Linked DNA regions of Caenorhabditis elegans. The protein of the gene in region 1 interacts with the protein of each later gene in a pairwise test. Each region holds a gene or a part of one and is shown in the gene's direction. Other genes may lie near its edges.

Region 1 (3,260 bases):
TTTCAAGACTCACCTGAATAAATTTTTATTGCGTTCCAAAAACTTTGTTTTATTTCAATTGATCATTTTGTGACAAAATATTTTATTAGTTTTTTTCTTCTGATTTTTGTGAATATCAATGTACATAGAAACTTTTTCAAGGCTGGAACAAAGTCAGTTTTCAGATTTGACCAGAGTTACCCGTTTATAGCCCGTATATATTATATCTAGTTTGTTGCCTGTCACACACCTCAAACCCCAATTTCCGTTTGGTTCTCGGAAATAGCAAACTATCACATGCATTGACGTGAGAACTTGTGGGGGTTGGTATCCATACACATTTACTTTGCTGCCCATTTTGGTTTTGTTTCTCTATCAGGATGGGCTCTTCTGAAAGTATCGTCAAATTGAATGTTGGCGGAACTGTGTTCGTGACTTTGAAATCAACTTTGACTAAACATCATGGAATCTTCAAAGCGTTGGTCAAAACCGAAATGCCTGTTGGTTCTTTTTTCCAGTTATTATTTACATAGTTTACATTTATAAAGTTCAGGCTGAAGATGGCGATAGTTTCTTCATCGACCGCTCTCCGAAGCATTTTGAAACGGTGCTGAATTATATAAGATCCGGCGATGTTGATCTTCCAGACTCCGAGAATGAACTGAAAGAACTGAAAAGGGAGGCGGAATACTATTCGTTAGAAAAGCTGGCAACGTTGTGCCAATCTTCAATGCCAAAGATTAAAAGTTACAAAACGGCTGATGAACTGTTAAACATGATTGCGAACACCAAGAAGGTTAGTTTATTTACATACAAATCAAAAAATGAATATAACTTGTTTTCAGGTGGTCGTTGTTATTCACTACCTCGCTTATAAAAATCAGCTACACACCATCCCTCTTGGATTTAAATTTTCCGAGTTTGTAGAGAGAAATAAGGATAAAGCGGAAGTGTTTATTTGTGAGTTTAATACCTAGTTAATATAATAGTACGGATTATTTAGTGATTCCTTTCAATTGATGACAGTAATTGATTTTTATAATTTCAGATGAGATAAAAGACGAAGAGGAGTTGAAAGATAAACCGTACGTAGATGATCCCAATCGTGTTTGGAGTTTTTGTATCTTCAACTCCGAGTGGTCAGAAAATTATCCGCTCAAATCTTTGCGGGACATACAAGTGCAGTTAGACTGCTTCGGAGATTTCTAAGACCCTCAAAATCGATCAAATTTATAAATTAACCGGCATCTGAAAATTTACATACATTATCTTTATTTTATTATATGAAAGTATATATTATTATTACTAAACCCGTCCAGAAAACTGTTATATGTCTAGTTGCGATTAAAAATAATTTTGAAATAATCGAGCAACTCTCATTGTCTTGGTCACCAATTATAGTTGTTACACAGCTAGAAAAAGACAAAGAATGGATACCAGTTGTGTTTCTAAAAACCGAGCAACGTAAAACGTTACGTCAACAAGCGATGGTCTATGCTCTCAATCTACGCTGTTTATCGATTCATTTTTCTTGACCTAGATCTTCCTAGATATAACAGTCCTCCTTGAACCTTGCACATCGGCGTATCTACGCAGGTTCTGGTGACCAAAACTATCTGCGTCTCTTCTCTCTGTTCTGCACTATTCAAGACGACGGGAGGGCTCATTTGTAGTCGTTTTTGCCTTGTATTCTTTCTTTTATCTCCCTTTGCTGTTTACCTTCTTCCACTGTAATTTTCTGTAATACCTGTCGTGAATCGTCTGAATATCAGATATTGCACAGCCTTCAATATGTCTGGAAATACAGTGAAATTGAATGTCGGTGGAACTGTATTCGAGACCTTGAAATCTACTCTAACTAAGCATGACGGATTCTTCAAAGCGTTGATTGAAACTGATGTTCCGGTGAGTTACTTTTTGGACTTTTAATTAATTATAAACATTTTCAATTTCAGGCTGAAAAGGACGATTCCAACTGTTTCTTCATTGATCGGTCTCCGAAGCACTTTGAAACAGTTCTCAACTACATGAGATCCGGTGATGTAGTCCTTCCGGACTCTAAAAAAGACATGCTAGAATTGAAAAAAGAAGCTGAATACTACCTGCTGAGCAATTTGGCAAAATTATGTCAACCACCAACGGACAACTTTAAAACATGCACACCTGAGGAACTGATGCGTGTAGTTGCGAACACGGATAAGGTTTTTTAAACATTTTGTTTTACTAGCTCACAAAATATTTAACATTTTCCAGAAAGTTATTATGATCAACTATTTAACTTACAATGGTGAGCTCGTCTTCTACCCGTGGGGTTTCAATCTTGTTCATTTTTTAATTCAAAATCGCGATTATGTGGAGGATGTCTACTTTCGTGAGTTTTAGGAGGTTCCAAGTCGGTGCATAGCAAACAACGGTTATCAGAAATTAGGGAAGAAATAATGTCGGGTCGTTTTGATATTGATCTATCAGGCTGCTAGTTTTCCAGTCACATTAGCAAAATCCATACATTGGTCTGATTTCAGGAAGAACAGAATCTCAATACCCAGAGGACGGACCTTTTCCAAATGAGAAGCCATATTGGACTTTTCTTGTCTACAATTCTACGCGTTCAGGTCGTCGACCATTCCGGCACACGGTGGATCTGGAAGATTGTATGGGCCATATGTAGCAGATAAATTAAATAAATTCCACAACGTTACCTGAATTAATTTTCCACCAAACAAATGATGATTTCTCGAATAAATTCCTTTTCTTTCATGCAACTTTTCAACCTATTTCTGCAGAAATTTGATCATGTCATATCACTTTTGAGTGTACAGTTTTTATAACATTTCAGGGGTACAGTAGCTCCACATTACGGCTTGATCTACAAAAAAGTGGGAATTTTTTCTCAAAAAAAAATATGACGTCAGCACGAAAAATCAGCTAAATTCCCGTGATTCCCGCAGATCTACGTAGATCAAACCAGGGGTGGGCGGCAATTGCTGTTCGGCAAATTGATTTGTCGACAAATTCGGCAAATCGGCAAACCGGCAATTTGCCGGAAATTTCCAATTCCGGCAATTTGCCGGTTTGCCGATTTGCCGGAAATTGTAATTAACGGCAAATTGCCGGATACCAGATTTGCCGGAAATGTTTAGAGTAATTTTTTATAAGACGGAAGCACTTAAAACTGTCCATTTTTGAATTTTTCCCGTTTTTTCTACATATTTTCATAGAATATGCGTACTTTTCAAAATAGATATAGGAAAATTTATATGATGCGTTTAATTTTGCCATTT
Region 2 (6,258 bases), on another chromosome or scaffold:
AAAACTGATTGGGATCAAAGCAAACATGCTCTCTCGCTAATAAGTTTGCAACATAGTGATCATCGTATATAGCGCATTTGTATTGCCGTTCTGCTGATCATGGTCTGAAGCAGCCAACATTGTGCGGCACCGCCTCCCTAATATGAAATTTTAGTGACACACGAAGTGCCCGCTGCTGCTTCAACACTTAAAGATATGTTCTATTGATGTGACATACGTGACCGTTGGCAGATAAGCAATAAACCAGGAAAATGTCTGAAAATTAGCTATTTCCCTTTCTTTCAACTTGTGCCACTCTCTCTCTCTCTCTCTCTCTCTCTCTCTCTCTCTCTCTCTCTCTCTCTATTTTTCTCCGATTCCATCCTCTCCTCCTCTTCCCATTCACCTGTTATGATCATTTATCGTCACTGGCGCCGAAGAGACGCAGAGTGATGGGTATGTGGAGGTAGAGAACACATATGGGCACATCCCCCTTACACAAATTAGGTGTGACGGCTTCGAATTAAATTGATCGATGAGCAGTCCGCACCGATGGGACAGTTCCCGGCATATTGAACAAAACAGTGTCTCAGGCTGGTTAAGACACAATTTTATGCTACACGGTGTTGTCACGTAGATTGCGGTTGGTAGAGTTTGCAGGGACGCAGAGAGGCTAGAGACTTTGGCTGTCTGCACTCTCTCCTCGCCTTCTCACCATGTGGCCGCGAGATATATTGATGGCCGAGTTTTCTCCATTCATAATGAAACAAGTCCCCCGGATGGCCAGAAATGGTTTTTATAACTTTGTTTGTGGGTGACCTAGTTCTCTCAATTGTTTCAGATAATTTAAACTATTTTGCAGAATGGACTGTTCACATTTCTCTATCATTTTATTTTTTGCTCGCTGAGCATTTCTGATCTTTTGATGATGTACTTTTTTACTTCCTTCGTCATTCCCACCCTGAACGATAAACTAATTTCCCTTTCGATTAATGCTTTTTCTTTTCCAAAATTGCACTTTTATCATTTTCAAAGAAGAAAAAGAGATGGCATGACAATTGTCAGATGATTCTGAGGTTCGACTTTATTAAAATTAGCAATGTTTTTTTTTTATGTTATGGAGAATTTTTTAAATAGTTCTCCACTGACTCACTGTTGAATAATTTTTACTTGTAGAATTGTTTCTGTGGGAGAAGCATTCAAAAATTAATCACATCTATTTTCAGAATTCCACTCCTTATTTTAGTTGTTTGTTGTTACATGTACTTATGTACTTAGTAATTGACACATTGCACAATTATTTAAATGCGTGGTAAAGTGCACAAAACAAAGAGTATAAGAATATAGTTTGGTTTTCATAGTTGGAATGCTGGACTGATTGCTGGAATGTTGGAATGTTTGTTGTGGTAGGTCGGTGTGTCTGCTGTAGTTAGGGAGTTTTCCCTAAATCCAAGTTTTCAAACACACTTCATCCTTTCCTTGAAAGCACAATTTAAAAAGAAATAAATCATATAATTGGAACATTTATTTTTAAATTGAGATCCCATTGCTGTTTGATTTGTCCCTTCTTTCTGATCTTCATCCTTAATCGTCTTCTTCCGTTGTCACCTCGAATCACAACTTCATTTATTCTTCATTATCTGATTATCACCAACCGTTCTAAGTAAGCACCTCCCATTTTCTCCATTCAGCTCTCCCGTATTCTCTGCTTCCCGTGACTCCGCCTCTTTTTTCAACTTTTTTGTGGGTTTGCTATCATTTTCTATCTCTCAATCTTTGTCACTTTGTTCTCGAAAAACGTCTGAATTGGTCGAATAATGTTTCATCCAGGTATGACATCTCAGCCGTCTACTTCTAACCAAATGTATTATGATCCTTTGTATGGAGCAGAGCAAATTGTACAGGTGAGCACTATATTGTAGGAGACAGTTCAAGAGAGAGCGCGAGAGAATGAGAGAATATGAACATTTTTGGGGAACACTTATCTATTATAGTAGTCTAGTAATTGCTTCTGATTCTTAAAATACAAATAAAACTGTCTTCGTGCTTTGCATTTAGAAACTGAAGTACAAAATTCAGACAATATTAATTTTAACTATTTCAGTGCAATCCAATGGATTACCACCAGGCAAATATTTTATGCGGAATGCAGTATTTCAACAACTCGCATAATCGATATCCGGTTGGTTCAGTGATATTTGAAAACTAATTCTCTCAAAAATAAAATGGACCTCATTTTACTATTTTTCTGCATATGTAACGAAAAAATCAATAAACTTATATCCCAGTGACCAAATCGATAAGCTTTTCAAAATTTATTAAATCAAAAAATTTCAGTTATTACCTCAAATGCCACCACAGTTCACAAATGATCATCCATATGATTTTCCGAACGTGCCGACAATAAGTACTCTTGACGAAGCGTCTTCTTTTAATGGATTTTTGATACCTTCTCAACCATCTTCATATAACAATAATAACATTTCTTGTGTATTTACGCCTACACCATGTACATCATCACAAGCTTCATCCCAACCTCCACCTACACCTACAGTCAATCCAACACCGATTCCACCGAATGCTGGAGCAGTTCTCACAACTGCAATGGATTCATGTCAGCAGATTTCACATGTTTTACAATGTTATCAGCAGGTAGAAGGGGTCTTTGAAAAATAGAAAAATTTTAAGTAAAAATATAATGTTTTAAAATACTTGTTTTCCTATTAAAATACATTTCAAGTTGTATGGATTTTAAGTTTTCAAAAAAAATTGCTGAGAAAGTTGCATATTCATATCTGCTTGGGATTTATGAAAATTTTCGAACCAAAAATTTAGATTAAACTGAAACTTCTCTACATTTGAAAATAACGTACTAGACTTGAAATTTTTATTTGATTTCCTCTGATGAAATCATTGAATAAAACTCTGAAAATTTCAGAGCTCCAGAATTTTTTCTTTCTTGTAAACTTTAACATAAAACTTTAGGAAAGAAAAAACTCTGGAATTTTTACAAAATAGTTCTGAAACTACTTTTCCACTTTTATTTTTCAGAACAATTTTGAAAAAGGTATTCCAAAACTTGTCAAGCAAAACAAAAGAAGTTTTAATAATTAAAAAAAACTCCAAACTACAAAACAAACATTGTGGGTACGGCAGGCGCCAAGATAGCTGTGGAATTTGAAAACTGGAGCATTGAAAGAGAATTAAACAATTTACACGTGTTTCAGGGTGGAGAGGACAGTGATTTTGTACGGAAAGCCATCGAATCTCTTGTCAAAAAATTGAAAGACAAACGAATTGAATTGGATGCATTGATTACAGCAGTTACTTCAAATGGAAAACAACCAACTGGATGTGTTACTATTCAGGTTTGAAATAATACAACCTTTTGCTTCTGTACAGTAACCTAAAATTTTTTATTTTATGCTTGGAATTTTCGAAAATTTCAAAATTCCAGATATAAATTTCAGCAGTTTATGGGTATTTCAAAGAGAAAAACATGTTGCTTGCCAACTTTCTAAAATAACCAACAAAATTTTCAAATTTTTTTTCGTGAATTTGAAGTAAAATAATAATGTCAAAGTTTTTTCCGGTTTGAACATTTTAAATGGATTTTTGTTAGTACTTCCGATTCTTCAATTTTAAATACAGTTATCATCTTTAAAAGTTTAGAGATCCTTGGATGGACGCCTTCAAGTTGCTGGACGGAAAGGTGTTCCACATGTAGTTTACGCAAGAATATGGAGATGGCCAAAAGTTAGCAAAAATGAACTTGTGGTACATGAAAATGTTTGAACTCGGAAATAAACTGAACTATTCCAGAAATTAGTTCAATGTCAAACTTCATCAGATCATCCTGATAATATTTGCATTAATCCTTATCACTACGAAAGAGTTGTCTCAAATCGGATAACAAGTGCAGATCAATCACTTCACGTGGAGAATTCACCTATGAAGAGCGAATATTTAGGAGATGCAGGAGTTATTGATAGCTGCAGTGATTGGCCGAACACACCTCCTGATAACAATTTTAATGGTAAGAGTTGAACTCCAAAACTGTAAGTAGAGGTGGCTGCTCTCTCTCTCTGACTTTTATGCCTGCCTACGTACCTTCTAATACTTATTTGTTTGATATGGATGTTTAGTGAAGATAAAGGGTAGATAGAGGCATTTCTCATCTGCCCAAGATGAGCATGAATATATTTAATACAAAATCAACACTGAGAATTTTAGAGACCGATTTTAAATGTGACCCAATTTTTTTCAGGAGGATTTGCACCAGATCAACCTCAGCTAGTCACACCGATTATTTCTGATATTCCGATAGATCTCAATCAAATATATGTTCCAACACCTCCACAATTACTTGATAATTGGTGTTCAATCATTTATTATGAACTGGATACACCCATTGGTGAAACCTTTAAGGTATGTTTTTCTATGAAATCTGATGACTATTCATTCATGGTGCAAATCGCCTAGAAATTTTTGTGAAAGAGCGTGATTCTATCAAAAATGTGCAATGGCGTTATTAAATAATTTTAATTTTCTAAATTTTAGGTCAGCGCCCGCGATCATGGAAAAGTAATAGTAGATGGTGGAATGGATCCACATGGAGAAAATGAAGGAAGGTTATGTCTTGGAGCACTTTCAAATGTTCATCGAACAGAAGCTAGTGAAAAAGCAAGGTAATTTTAATTCAGGATCATGAAGAAAAATATAACACTGTTTTGCAGAATCCATATTGGTCGTGGTGTTGAATTAACCGCTCACGCCGATGGCAACATCTCTATCACTTCAAATTGTAAAATTTTCGTCCGATCCGGGTACCTAGACTACACTCATGGATCCGAGTACAGTAGTAAAGCACATCGATTCACTCCGAATGAATCTTCATTTACAGTATGTTCCCATTCAGGGAGTTTTACAAATGATAGAATGTTACAGGTATTCGACATCAGATGGGCCTACATGCAGATGCTCCGACGTTCTCGATCAAGCAATGAAGCAGTACGAGCACAGGCGGCAGCTGTTGCTGGATATGCACCGGTTAGTAGTAATTTGCAAGCAAAAAAACGACTCGACGCACCATATGGTGCATCATATGATCAGTGTACTGATTTTCTGCACGGACCCAATGCCATAGTTCACTTAAAAATTATTAGTGAAACTGACTAAATTTGCGACCAGGGTGATGTATTATTTCTGAGAATCAAAGATTCAATTTACCCTGATGATGCTTCGGGCATCAGCTAGCTAATTGTACACTTTTAATTCACAGACTCAAAGCATCATATATCACGAACACGAACAAGCAAAGCCTGATACCCAAGTTTAAAAAATATTTAAAAATTCAGATGTCCGTGATGCCAGCGATAATGCCTGACAGTGGAGTTGACAGGATGCGTCGTGACTTCTGTACAATTGCGATTTCATTTGTAAAAGCTTGGGGTGATGTCTACCAGAGGAAAACTATTAAGGTATGTCGACTACTCTATAAGAACTAGTCACCAATGACTTTTTTCCAGGAAACCCCATGTTGGATTGAAGTAACTTTGCACCGTCCTCTACAAATACTGGACCAGCTTCTCAAAAATAGTTCTCAATTTGGAAGTTCCTAACACTTATTTTTTATTTTTCTTCAATAATGATATCTACCTGTATTTACGTACCCCAGCAGTTTCTCATATTCATGTGCGTTGTAAAATCTCCTTTTTTGAATTTTTTCACTTTGGAAATAAAGTTTTTAGCATAGTAAATACAACCACACTATGTAAAAATAGGTTGCAGGAAAAATCAAAGAAATTTTAAAAAAATGAGCGGTTGAGTTTTCTCTTTTGGTGGCCGCGTTGACGAAATGGAAGAATCAAACCATATGCACCATTGTCATCATATTTACTTACCCAGAGCCATTATGGTTGATTGAAAATTCATGGTTGAATTCTCACATATGGAATATCATTCCCACGAATTCCCACTAATTTCTTCAATGAAGTTCAAAATAAGAGTGCTCGACGGTCTCTCCCCTCTGTGCCAGTGACAAAAAAAGTGCCCCATTCCGGGAGAATTATGTCCCTTGAGAACCATTTTGCCAGGGGCCGTGAGTGTGTCGCCCCCTTTCTACTCTATCCTAGTGGCCCTTTGTCTGTGCGACACAAAATATTCCAAAAGTAACACTATCATTTTTATTGTCTTCTCCTACACTCATCCCCATTTCACTGAGCCATTCCTCTGAATGTTGCAGTTTTATGTGCAATTTTTTTCAGAAATCACAGAGTT
Region 3 (5,329 bases), on another chromosome or scaffold:
AGAACCTTCTGGAAAATTCGAAAAAAATTCTGGAACATTCGTGGTGAGACCCATAAATTTTGACCGAAAACTCAAAATTTCTGAGAAAAAATTTTTGGCGGGAAATTCAAATTTTCTGAGAAACTTTTTGTTAGCTTAAGTACCACCTCGAACTGGCGAGACCCATCGTGGTGGGACCCTTAAAAATATGGGCGAGAACTTCAAAATTTATGAGAAAAGAAATTTTGGCGGGAATTCAAATTTCCAAGAAAAATTTTGGCGGGAAATTCAAATTTTCTGAGAAAAAGATTTTGACGGGAAATTCAAATTTTCTGAGGAAAACATTTGGCGGGAAATTCCAATTTTGGTTCTGGAATCAATTTTTGTTTCAGCACCTTCTGGAAGTTTCAAGAAAATTCTAGAATGTTCTAGAATCATCTGGAAAATTCAAAAAAGTTCTGAAATGCTCTACAACCTCCTATAACTGTAGGAGTTTTTATTTGTTTCGTCACATCTATATTCAAAGAACTTACTATTAGTAGTTAATTATTCAGACTTCTCCAGTTAAGGAAAGTTATTAACTTATTGAAAAAACTGTAACTCTGTGGAATTTTTTCGGGGGAGGGGGACAGCTCGCCACCCCAACAGTGAGAAAAATAGTGTGGTGCGCGGACCTCGAATGATGCTGATATTACCTGGGGTACCGCTTTTTGCCTTTTCCCCGTGAGTGAACGAGAAAAAGGCGGGGACTATTTTGGCGTACACGCAACGCAGTTTTATAATTTTGAGTGTAGAAAAATCAGAACATTCTAACTGTCTCTTTGAATTTTCTGAATCGAATACCATGGAAGAAGAAAATGCGATTTAATCGATGAAGTTTCAACTTTTTTAATGATATATTTTTGAATGATTAAAAGGACATCTATGTGTTATACATTTTAAACTCCGCCAGTCGTTGGCCGCGCCGGAGGCGCGGTCATCGGCTGGTATATATATATATATATCTACTCATATTAGTTTTTTTTTCCGCTAAAAAAATATACTATTAGAATTTAAATTTAAAAAAATTATTACTAGAAAATGGAATTTAATATTAAATTTAAAGAAAAACATGTTTTTTGAAAGTAGTTTGAATGCATTTACAGGTTACTGTAGTTTTAAAGGCGCATGACATAATTTTAAAATTTAACTTTTTCGCTGCGATACCTTCACCGCGAGAAATCTTTTTTGTGACATAATTTCTTCATTTTTGTTGGTTTGTTTTCGCTGAAACTGCAAAAATTGAATTTTAAAATTGTATTACTAATTCAAATTGCGAAAAATTATGCGAAAACTTTTTGAAAACCCGCATTTTGTTGTAAATTTTCCGATTTTAAGCTAAAATTATGGTTTTCTAGTTAATTTTTTAAACTTTATCAATTTTCAAAATTTATTACTGCTTAGATTTGAATTTTAAAATTATTTAAATAAATTACAATTTTTAAAGCGCTTTGAATGCATTTAATGGTTACTGTAGTTTCAAAGGCGCATGGCATGAATTGTAATTTGAATTGCTTCGCTGTGAGACCCTCACCGCGAGCAGTCTAATTTTTGTGACCTATTTTCTCAATTTTCATTTGTTTCCTTTCGCTGAAACGCGAATAGGTTGATTTATAAATGGTTTTTTATCAATTAAATTGCAAAAAAATGTGCGAAAACTATTTAAAAACCCATATTTTGTTTTAAATTTTCAGATTTGTGCTAAAATTATCGTTTTTTTTCAGATAATGTCGGGAACAAAAGTTCCCTCTTTACCGAAGGGCAAAGAAAAACCGTGTGTGGTTACTTTTGCCACACAAAGTGATCGATCTAACGAACCGCCACCACAACCGAGAGTAAGGAAAGTGACAACAATCATCAATACATTAGGAGTTGTCGTTCGAAACACAACAACAGAAATTGGAGTTTGGGTGTTCACTTCCTGTGTAGAAGTCTCTTTTCCAAGATCAAATTCACCGATATTCTCAGTAAGTGAAGTTGAATAAACGAGTTCTCTAATTTTTATTTCAGAATTTCACATTGGGCACTTGGATGATTGTTGGTTTATATCCTGACGCGACGGTTGCTTCATGTTCACCATGGCCTTTGATTCTCAAAGCTTACGAGATGAGTGTATCATATGGAACTGTATTTATGAAACGAAAGGCTTCAGAACTTTGTCATGAAAAGGTTGGACGTGAACTGTTTCGCTCAATTGACGGCAAAACTTTCAGACGGTTTTGTATAGTGAAGTGGTCGTCCCGCTTGTGAATCCATATAGCAACATGTCATATTTCGAAGTTAGTGCAAGGTCATAATTCCATTTTTAAATAACTAAATTTTCAGCGCGATCCTCATCTCACGGCGGAGCTGTACATGATTCCTGGATTTGGCCGTGTGCTCGGATCCAGCGCTTATCGGCAGTACTTAGAGGACAATAGAGATAACGTTTCCTTCATAGTTCAGTATTGTGGAGGATCATTACGCGGTTGCAGTTGGATAATGTCGGTGGTTGATGGAAAAGCTCAGACCGATGGCGAGTTCAGTGACAAAGATCTCAGAGAAATTGCTGAGTTCATTCGTGAAAGACACAACAAAGAGGTTTAACACACATTCGATTAATTAGAAATTTCAAAATTAAAGTATTAAAACTTTTTCAGAATGAATCACCCCCTTTGCCGTCTAACTCTATCGCTCGTCACGCCGGATTCGTAACAGAAGTGTTCCCACAAAAAAATTATCTTTATTGTTGGTCACCACAGGTTTCCTTGGAAGCAGATCATACGGCGAAATTTCCGCAGCCACCAAAACATAGAGAAGTAGACAGTCCAATGTTGTCTCCGCTAGTAGGCCAATGGATCCAATTTGATGTGCAGTCAAAAGATTTGGATAAGTATATGAGCACGAGATCTGGATATCGATTGAGCATTCAAGAATATTTACCCATCAACAGTCCGTGTGGCGTCGGTGTTGTTCAATGTGGTAAAATTGTTCGAGTGAGAAAAATCTATCCTAAATGTATTTTAATTATTTTATTTTTTTTAGGTCATGATTTCATGTATTTTGGTGAAAAGCACCGATCATCCGATGTTGTTCGAATTACAAATGTTTGGACCTGTCATCGATAAAAAATCGTCTTTAATTTCGGGAGCGTTCATGCAGATAGTCCTGGAGAAGACATCATCGAGAATCCGTAGAATGAGTGGAGTTTGCTGGAGAGTAATCTATTCGCTCATTGTGAGCGGCGCTGAAAATATGGTGGAAAATTCGCAGAGCGTGCGAATCGAGGCAATTTCCCAACGAGACGCCATGGAGACTTCTCACATCATTCCTATAGAAAAGCGTAAGTAAATTTGACAGATTTCATGTGAAATTCGATTCATCACATGAATTAGAAGCAATGTTATTCAAGACCTAGTTAAGATTCCATGGCTTATTTCCAATAATGATGTCTCATTTACAGCCTCTAATTCAGGAACTATTACAAACAATACTGGAGTGACTACATTGAAGTATCAACAGCCCCATCAAAATCCCCATTATCAGGAGCAGCGTCGAGATTATTACATGGGAAACAACATTCAAATTCAAACAGCATATAATTCCACACAACTTCGGAAGTACCAACCGAAACCGAAGAAATTCTCGTCATATACCGGAGAATCATTGGTTCGCTCTAGGCCTATATTTTTTTTCGAAATTAATTTTTTGCTTTTTTCAGGAAGGTCATGCGCTCGTCGAAAAGATTATGGCTCATGCGAAAACCGGAATCTTATGGTTCTTTGATAATTATAACTCCAGTGGTATAACTTTTCAGAAAAAAAATTATTTGAACACATTGAATATATTCAGTTCACTTCATTTTCGATGATTTTGAGTTGAATGTTGGTGACTATGCGTATGTGAAGCTGATCCAGAAGAAAGAGGAAACGGCTCATCTGCAATTTCGATGGAAATGGATATCTGGAACAAAGAAACTTTCACCATTCAATTGTCGCATCGATCTGTTTCAGTTGTTTGTATGTTTTCAGAAATTATGATAACTTTAATTCGGTTCATTTTCAGATAGAGGAACAAGTGTCTTACAAATCAAAGGACATGTTAAACAGAAACACATACACTTCCAAAAACTTTCCGATAATTTTCGATGCTGATGGAATTATCAAAAATCCCATTGTAAGATAAAGTCGTTTCGTTCGAAACATAAAATTAATTATTACAGCCAGGAGCCATATATTGTGTGGTTATTCTTCGAAAGAAAATTCAAGTGACGCAAACGGAAAGCCCGGTAAGTTGAATTTTTTTTATAAAGATAATAAAGTTTTATATTAATATTATTATAGACTCACAAATATCAATGGATTATTGATTCTGCTCAGAGCAATCCGTTTATTATAACGGAATACTACAATCCTCACAATGCTTTCAACAGATCGTTCATAGCCTCAAAGCAATTTTCGAGTTCAGCAGCTTTATCAACTGGTAAACAATTATCTATATTAGCTACTATAAATAAACAAAAAATTAATTTCAGACTCGAAAAAAGGATCCTCCGGTTCTGAAAAATCATCGACGTCTCCTCCGCTGAAAAGTCTCACGCCACCTTCAGATGAATAATTATGATGACTACTAACTTTTTCTTCTGTTTTGCATGTTATTTAATCATATTGAGACAGATCTCCCTACCTGAAAACGTGTTCTTTATAACTTGCCGGGTGCCGAGTTTTTCACGGTTTCTGTCCAACTTGCGCATTAATCGCGCCCCGTATTTGTTGTATTTTATAAAAGTTTCCCAGTTTCTTATTAAACTTTGTATCTCTGTTCATATGTACCATCCGTTTCCACCGGAAAGTTGTATCTTCTTGAGAGCATTGAGAGGCCAGAAAGAATTTTGTTTAGTGAAGCAAAACATTTTTCACTTTATTTAATTGCCGATTGATTAAAAAACGCCCCCAGATGTCCTGTTTTCTATTACAAAGTTTCCCGTCTTGAAACATTGACCGTTAATATATTTTAGTCATAAATAATGCTCGGATTAGCCGCACAACGAAAATCAAATGGGAAAGTCGCCGTAGTCTCGTGAGTTTGCTATTTTTTCTAAATAAAATAATATTTTCTCGAATTAGGTTTAATAAATATTTTCAACTTTCAGTCCAACAGATGGAATCGAGTTCGATGTTAACGAAGATATTCTGAACATCCACATGATCTTTCTGGGAGACTTTTGCCAAATCAATGTTGAGAATAATATTCCGATTTCTTATTCAAAAGTGGAAGATGCGTTCAGGTCTTTAAAAACTGAAGTGAGAACAGATACTGTTGAGGTTAGTAA
Region 4 (7,797 bases), on another chromosome or scaffold:
TGTGTCGATTTATGGGCTCGATTAAAATTGAGCAAAAAATTTAGAAAATACTATGCAGGCGCGGAGGAAAATAAAATATCGATATCACTATTCGGAAACAAATTCATTTCAAAAATCGAGCACGTAAATCGACACAAGCGCTACAGTAGCAATTTTTAAAAAAATTACTGTAGTTTTCGCTACGAGATATTTTGCGCGTCAAATTTGCTGCGCAATACGCATTCTCAGAATTTTGCGTTACCGTAATATACACGGTGAAGAACACGAGCCACCAGGAGTACGGTAGCCCTGACTTTAATTGCAAAAAAAGAGAAAACAGTGAAAAAAATCTGTATATAATTGCTATTATTTTTAAATTTCGCAAAAAAAATTAGAAATGACCACATTAATTTTGAATTCCTGCGCGAATGAATTCTATTTTTTGCGTATTCCTGCAATATTTATTGGATTTTCTCTTAGCCTAAAGCCTAAAACGCAGAAATTTCGAAATAATAAATTGACCATTTTTGAATTATTGGTGCAAAATTGAGAAAAATTGTGAAAAATTATACCATTTTTTGAACAATTACGCTCAGCTTACTAATTGTAAGATTACTCAGATTTATGGCAAAACACGATTTTTACGCCTTCAAAAAATCCTAGCTTTTGGCAAAACTTACAGGAAATTAAAAAATTCAGAATAAAAAGTAATAAGATCCAGGAAGCCATGACTCGAATCATTGTAGTTGAACTGTATGAATGATTTGATCCCAGCTTCTTCCGCCACCCTAAACACCCCATAATTTCCGTTTTCCGCTTGAATAGGAAATGTTGTATATTTCTGTACTCCTTCCTGAAGTATTAAAACTCGTTTTCGTTTATTAAACTGTTTCTTTTTTCAGATCACTCAACTTCCTCTTCTCAACGTCAACTTCGACTCGGCTAATTATAATTTTATTTATTTTTCTGATTTTTTTAAAATTCTTGTTTTTTCTCAAATTTCCAATTTCAACATCATCTTATTTTCAAATAAAAATATTTATTTTGCGACTTTCTATTAATTTGAAACAGCGAATATTGTTAATTTATTAAGTAAATTTAATCATTTTAGATCGTTTTCAACCGATTTTCGAGGGCTTTCCACAAATTTTGTACTTTTAAATAAATTTAAAGTTTATTCTACCGAAAACACTATTTATTTTTCCACGTGGACACCGCCAATTTTCTCTGAAAATTCTAAAATTCTGGTTGAAAATTAATTTTTAAAGCTTCCTCACGAGAAAAGCGCCAACGCACGAGGAGCGCGCCAGCAAACCCGCATTGACGCAGTCTCGGTGCACTTCTGAACTCCAAAACACACTGTTCCCGTTCGATTTTTCTCGCATTTTTCATAGTTTTTTTCGAAATTGAAGCTTTTAAAGGTGTTTTAGACTTGATTCGAAGTGAAATATTGATTGATTGAGCCGGAAAATAGGCAAAAAGTTCTGGAAAAACGCGCGAAATTAAAATTCCAGTGACTTTCGAGATAATGATATTGATTTTTCCGAGTAATTAAGTTGATATCCAGCTATTTATTTTTGCGTGACATTCTAATTACCGGATTTTCAAAGTTTTTTCGAAAAAAAAACAAAGCAAAATCGATTTATTTCGAATTACTCGCGACTTCTCAACTTTGAAGCTGAAAATAGTTAGTTTTGTTTTTTCTGTTATCAGTGCGCGCTTTTTCTGCAATAATAACATTCCGCAGTACGATTTTTTCAAATTTTTTGCTTTTCGAGAACGGAAAATCAAGTTTATTTCAGTGTGCACGAAAAACGAGCGAGATTCTGACTTGACCAGTTCGTTCGGAATCGACTCATTTTTGGAGATGAGCGGACGCTCCGGTAATGGTGGACAACAAAAAATGAGAATTCGCCCATTTATGGTAGGTTTACACACACAGATTTTAGTCCTCTATCAAGCCTGTCTCCTTGTTTTGCGTGAAAAATCGATTTTTTTAAAACGAAACTTGGAATGTTACGGCCGAATTATCCGCGATATCCGAACAATCCGTCAATTTCTGATGAGAAACTGATATTTTTCCACTGGCAACTGTATGCCACGTGGCAATCATTTTCAGTTTGCGTGCCACGTGCCAAAACTCGTCATTTCTAAAGAACAAAAGCAAAATATTTTTTTTTCATATAACAAAATCGATTCTGAGGGATTTCTAATGGTCAATAATTGTTTTTGACCGTTTAACCAGGAAAAAACGAAGAGAAAAACTGTAAAATCGTATTTCCGCCGTTTTTTATCGATTTTCTATTTTTTTTCCTATTTGCTTGGACTAGCCATTAGAAACATGAAATTTGTTATAAACGGCAATGTTCTCGCAAAAATGACCTCACATAAGAGTTTTTCGCGTTTTTTTCACGAAAAAAAAACGCATTTTTGATCGAAATTTACCGAATTTCATCCCAAAAAAGTTCCAAAATTTTTGCCAAATTTTGCTAAAATCTGATATTTCGTAAACTTTTCTAGCTGGAAAATCCCTGAGTTTAGCAAATTTTGGCGCTTTTCCGAAAATTTTGAATTCTTATAATGAAATTTTGGAAATTTTTTAATAGTCGGGCCAGTTTTTGGTCATTTAAGGAAAATGCCCAAAATTTAGAAAAGCCGCAAAAAAAAAACGGAGAAAAATGATTTTTTTTCAGGCCACAATAGACGAGCAATATGTGACACAGACATGGGAACTTTTGAAGCGTGCCATACAGGAAATCCAACGCAAAAACAATTCGGGCTTGAGTTTCGAGGAGCTCTACCGCAACGCATATACAATGGTGCTCCACAAGCACGGAGAACGTCTCTATAATGGCCTGAAAGACGTGATTCAGGATCATATGGCGTCGGTTCGAATTCGAATTATCGAATCAATGAATTCTGGAAGCTTCCTGGAGACTGTCGCCGAATCGTGGGCTGATCACACTGTCGCCATGGTCATGATTCGTGATATTCTGATGTATATGGATCGGATCTACGTGGCACAGAATAATCACGTCCTGCCGGTCTATAATCTGGGTCTCGACGCGTATCGGACGGAAATTCTGCGGCAAAACGGGATTGGCGACCGAATTCGCGATGCTCTTCTGGAGCTTATCAAATTGGATCGAAAATCGAATCAAATCAATTGGCACGGAATAAAAAACGCGTGTGATATGCTCATCTCGCTAGGAATCGATAGCCGGACGGTTTATGAGGACGAATTTGAGAGGCCACTTCTGAAGGAGACTAGTGATTACTATCGGGATGTGTGCAAGAATTGGCTTTCTGGCGACAATGACGCGTGCTTCTATCTGGCACAGGTGGAGATTGCGATGCACGACGAGGCGAGCCGAGCGTCGAGATATCTTGACAAAATGACAGAGGCCAAAATCCTGCAGGTGATGGATGATGTGATGGTTGCTGAGCATATTCAGACGATTGTCTACATGCAGAATGGTGGTGTGAAGTTTATGTTGGAGCACAAGAAGATTGAGGATTTGACTCGCATTTTCCGTATTTTCAAACGTATCGGAGATTCGGTGACAGTACCGGGTGGTGGATTGAAGGCGCTGCTTAAGGCGGTTAGCGAGTGAGTTTTTCGCGCGATTTTTTTTTAGAAATTGAATTATTTGGTGATTACAGCCGTGGGAGGAACGTTGTAAAATTAAAATTTGAACAATTTTCACCACAAAAAGGCACTAGCATGGTTATCTGTCGATTTACGAAGCCTGTGTACTCTTCGAGGGGAAATTTTGTTTTTTTACCCCAGAAATTACGGGTTTTTGCTTTAATGCGGAGATTTCAATGATTTTATTTTGTAAAAAATTGAAAATTTCACCCAAAATGGCTCCATGTGTCGGTTTAACCAGCTTTTGTGCTCCTCGAAAATTTATGTATTTGATGGTTAAATCTAGACTTTACTTTGGCACTTTTTTTGAAGAGGATTTTACAGTGTTTAGCTAAAATGCTTAATCGTTCAAATTATTTCTAATTTTAATGGTAAAACACCACCAATGCAAGCATTTCAGCCAGAAACCGTAAAAAATAATCCACGTGGAGTACACGAGTCGCGTAAATCTACACATGGCCGTGTTAGTAGAGGTTTCGCGGCCACGTTTTCGCTTCAAGAAATTTAAATTCCAGCCAATTTACTGTATTTTTATTTATCAAACTCTACTTTTCTGACCTAAACCCGTGTCACTCGCCCGCAGCAATCTGTTTATTTGTTCTGTTGTCCATTACGTCGAACACCGCCGCTTCTCCTTAAAACGCCTCAGCTGTTGGTGGTTTTAGTTTTTAGATAACACCAACCCTAACAGTTGAACACGGAGCATTCAGAAAACTAGAGCAGAATTGGGGGTTGCTCAGCAAGAAAAGTTAACTTTTTTTTCCAGATATCTCAACGAAACCGGCTCGAACATTGTGAAAAATGAGGATCTGCTCAAAAACCCCGTCAATTTTGTCAACGAATTGCTCCAGCTCAAAGACTACTTCTCCAGTCTGCTCACCACTGCGTTTGCCGACGATCGTGACTTTAAGAATCGCTTCCAGCATGATTTCGAGACGTTCCTCAACTCGAATCGCCAATCGCCGGAATTTGTGGCCCTCTACATGGACGATATGCTGCGAAGCGGTCTGAAATGTGTGTCGGACGCCGAAATGGACAATAAGCTCGACAATGTGATGATCTTGTTCCGCTATCTACAGGAGAAGGATGTATTCGAGAAGTATTTCAAGCAATACCTCGCCAAACGTCTCTTGCTCGACAAATCGTGCTCCGACGATGTGGAGAAGGCTCTGCTGGCAAAGCTGAAGACAGAGTGTGGTTGCCAGTTTACTCAGAAGCTTGAGAATATGTTCAGAGACAAGGAGCTTTGGCTGACACTGGCCACAAGCTTCAGAGACTGGCGAGAGGCTCAGCCGACCAAAATGAGCATTGACATATCGCTTAGAGTTTTGACGGCGGGCGTTTGGCCGACGGTTCAGTGTAATCCGGTTGTGTTGCCGCAAGAGTTGTCGGTTGCCTATGAGGTAATTCGAATTTTCAATTGGTTTTGCAATTTTTGAGCTTGATGTTTCACAAAACCCGCAAAAATGTCTGCTTACACGCAGGGTTGTCGTTTTTTGCCAAAAGATGGATTTTTTATACAGAAAAATGTGCATTTTAGAGACAATATATATTTTTTTCGGTTTTTCCAATCAAAAAACAACAAGTATGTTTTTTTTTCAAAATTTAATTTCCAGTCGCGATGAGATGAATTCAAAAAAAAAACGTTTCTTCTAGTTTTTCTGACCAAATACCTAGAAATCCATTTTTCTGCCAGAAAAGCCAAAAAAGATTCCGAATATCTATTATTTTTGCTTGAAATCGCTTTTCACACGCGCACCAGAGACATTCTCATTGGACCGCCACACTTGTGTCGATTTACGAGATTTCTCATGAAATTTTCAGGCCAATTTCAATTTTTCAATAAGTATGTTTCATTTTTGTGGAAAAACTGAAATCTCCGTAAATCGACACAACACGGTGCGCTCCAATGAGAATATCTCTGGCGCGAGTTTAAAAATATTATTGGGTGCGATTAAACGTGCTTTCAAGCTAAAATATAAAACCAGGGCAATTTTTAAAAAAATATTTTTTCACAAAGATTTTTGGAATTTCTTCAATTTCCCCTCGTTTTTCAGATGTTCACACAATACTACACTGAAAAGCACACTGGCCGTAAGCTGACAATCAACACACTTCTCGGAAACGCTGACGTCAAAGCCACATTCTATCCACCACCAAAAGCATCCATGTCAAACGAGGAAAATGGTCCTGGACCGTCGAGCAGTGGAGAGTCGATGAAAGAACGAAAACCGGAGCACAAGATTCTCCAGGTCAATACGCATCAGATGATCATTCTCCTTCAGTTCAACCATCACAATCGGATCTCATGTCAGCAGCTGATGGATGAGCTTAAGATTCCCGAGCGAGAGTTGAAGAGGAATTTGCAGTCGCTGGCTCTCGGAAAAGCGTCGCAGCGGATTTTGGTCAGAAAGAATAAGGGAAAAGATGCGATAGGTATGAAAAGGAAATTATAGTTTTTCGAATTTTTTTGAAAAAAATTGATAATTTGAAAAAAAAATCAATTTCCAATCGCTGCAGCCAACTTTCCCATGGGACATGGGAAAGTTGGCAAAGTTGGGTTTTTTTTGCTAACTAGGGAATGGTGTTACCCCTGCAATCGCTAGGAGGACAAACAAAGTGAAAATGGAAGATCAGATCTATGGCTACAAGAATCAGTTTTTGGAATCTGCTTAACTCGGTCCCAAAGCTGAAATTTTCGGTCTTAAAAAGTAGTCCTTTTTTTGCTCAAAATGCCGTTTTTCGTGTGTAGAAGTGGCTACATAAAAGTTTGGCACTGCAGCCGCCGTTCGAATGGCCGATTGGTGAACTCTTGTGCTCATTAATCTAAAGGTCACGGGTTCGTTCCCCACTAGGTATTAATTTTTTTTTGAATTTTTCCTCTAGCATGAAATATGCACAAAAACACGGTTTCTTCCGTTTTTTGGTAACTTCGGAATAAATTTTTTGGTTCCTGGGAATCATAAAAGTAATTTGGAAACTTTTTGGAAGTTTTCTTTTTTTGATAAATTTTCACTTTTCTCCCACCTGATGTATGCACATTTTTTTCTTCAAAAATAATTTTTCAAAATTTTTTCAAAAAGTGTTTGGTTTGAAAGAGCAGCATTAGTTTGGATATTTCTACGATTTTGGAGGATCAAATGTCATTTTTAGGAGAAAACCACTGTTGTTTTCTCTAGACTTTTTCACGAAAAGGACCTACTTTCAAAGACTTCCAGCTCCGTTGACGAGTAAAATAAAAAAGAGTTGTCAACTGCAAAGTTATTTCAAAAGTACCAATGAACAAATTGTCAGTTGAAGTTACTCTGCTAAATTTTATGGGTAGAGAGATATAGCTAATCGAAGTGAAGCTTTAACTTACTTAATTACTAATGTCCATATCTCTCTACCCATAAAATTTAGCAGAGTAACTTCAACTGACAATTTGTTTATTGGTACTTTTAAAATAACTTTGCAGTTGACAACTCTTTTTTATTTTACTCGTCAACGGAGCTGGAAGTCTTTGAAAGTAGGTCCTTTTCGTGAAAAAGTCTAGAGAAAACAACAGTGGTTTTCTCCTAAAAATGACATTTGATCCTCCAAAATCGTAGAAATATCCAAACTAATGCTGCTCTTTCAAACCAAACACTTTTTGAAAAAATTTTGAAAAATTATTTTTGAAGAAAAAAATGTGCATACATCAGGTGGGAGAAAAGTGAAAATTTATCAAAAAAAGAAAACTTCCAAAAAGTTTCCAAATTACTTTTATGATTCCCAGGAACCAAAAAATTTATTCCGAAGTTACCAAAAAACGGAAGAAACCGTGTTTTTGTGCATATTTCATGCTAGAGGAAAAATTCAAAAAAAAATTAATACCTAGTGGGGAACGAACCCGTGACCTTTAGATTAATGAGCACAAGAGTTCACCAATCGGCCATTCGAACGGCGGCTGCAGTGCCAAACTTTTATGTAGCCACTTCTACACACGAAAAACGGCATTTTGAGCAAAAAAAGGACTACTTTTTAAGACCGAAAATTTCAGCTTTGGGACCGAGTTAAGCAGATTCCAAAAACTGATTCTTGTAGCCATAGATCTGATCTTCCATTTTCACTTTGTTTTGTCCTCCTAGCGATTGCAGGGGTAACACCATTCCCTAGTAAAATTTGCCTTTTTCACGTTTTTGAACTGT

What was found.
Region 2: the proteins of B0281.5 (region 1) and sma-4 interact in a two-hybrid assay, tested with the Caenorhabditis elegans proteins (one large-scale study listed by BioGRID).
Region 3: the proteins of B0281.5 (region 1) and B0001.7 interact in a two-hybrid assay, tested with the Caenorhabditis elegans proteins (one large-scale study listed by BioGRID).
Region 4: the proteins of B0281.5 (region 1) and cul-3 interact in a two-hybrid assay, tested with the Caenorhabditis elegans proteins (one large-scale study listed by BioGRID).

What each region holds. Positions count from the first base shown.
Region 1 is NC_003280.10:2,299,329-2,302,588, reverse strand, and holds B0281.5 (BTB domain-containing protein), read left to right. Parts: upstream 1-1,627; 5' UTR 1,628-1,770; coding exon 1,771-1,884; intron 1,885-1,934; coding exon 1,935-2,180; intron 2,181-2,232; coding exon 2,233-2,350; intron 2,351-2,501; coding exon 2,502-2,647; 3' UTR 2,648-2,735; downstream 2,736-3,260. Other genes in the region: B0281.6 (BTB domain-containing protein), read left to right, coding at 360-479, 533-775, 825-939, 1,028-1,188.
Region 2 is NC_003281.10:5,814,466-5,820,723, forward strand, and holds sma-4 (Dwarfin sma-4), read left to right. Parts: upstream 1-1,766; 5' UTR 1,767-1,811; coding exon 1,812-1,883; intron 1,884-2,083; coding exon 2,084-2,161; intron 2,162-2,316; coding exon 2,317-2,631; intron 2,632-3,206; coding exon 3,207-3,347; intron 3,348-3,651; coding exon 3,652-3,756; intron 3,757-3,801; coding exon 3,802-4,015; intron 4,016-4,246; coding exon 4,247-4,407; intron 4,408-4,539; coding exon 4,540-4,667; intron 4,668-4,715; coding exon 4,716-4,881; intron 4,882-4,926; coding exon 4,927-5,028; intron 5,029-5,336; coding exon 5,337-5,459; intron 5,460-5,507; coding exon 5,508-5,600; 3' UTR 5,601-5,732; downstream 5,733-6,258. Other genes in the region: R12B2.7 (Ovule protein), read left to right, coding at 769-789, 842-1,048. UniProt on the Caenorhabditis elegans protein: Involved in TGF-beta pathway.
Region 3 is NC_003282.8:12,150,659-12,155,987, reverse strand, and holds B0001.7 (Movement protein), read left to right. Parts: upstream 1-1,742; 5' UTR 1,743-1,745; coding exon 1,746-1,985; intron 1,986-2,028; coding exon 2,029-2,187; intron 2,188-2,231; coding exon 2,232-2,297; intron 2,298-2,343; coding exon 2,344-2,598; intron 2,599-2,657; coding exon 2,658-2,993; intron 2,994-3,042; coding exon 3,043-3,340; intron 3,341-3,460; coding exon 3,461-3,666; intron 3,667-3,718; coding exon 3,719-3,800; intron 3,801-3,849; coding exon 3,850-4,016; intron 4,017-4,062; coding exon 4,063-4,173; intron 4,174-4,219; coding exon 4,220-4,285; intron 4,286-4,340; coding exon 4,341-4,479; intron 4,480-4,531; coding exon 4,532-4,614; 3' UTR 4,615-4,796; downstream 4,797-5,329. Other genes in the region: B0001.2 (uncharacterized protein), read left to right, coding at 5,024-5,076, 5,150-5,321.
Region 4 is NC_003283.11:175,798-183,594, forward strand, and holds the start of cul-3 (Cullin-3), read left to right. Parts: upstream 1-1,781; 5' UTR 1,782-1,846; coding exon 1,847-1,903; intron 1,904-2,672; coding exon 2,673-3,589; intron 3,590-4,394; coding exon 4,395-5,031; intron 5,032-5,685; coding exon 5,686-6,064; intron 6,065-7,797. UniProt on the Caenorhabditis elegans protein: Probable core component of multiple cullin-RING-based BCB (BTB-CUL3-BTB) E3 ubiquitin-protein ligase complexes which mediate the ubiquitination and subsequent proteasomal degradation of target proteins.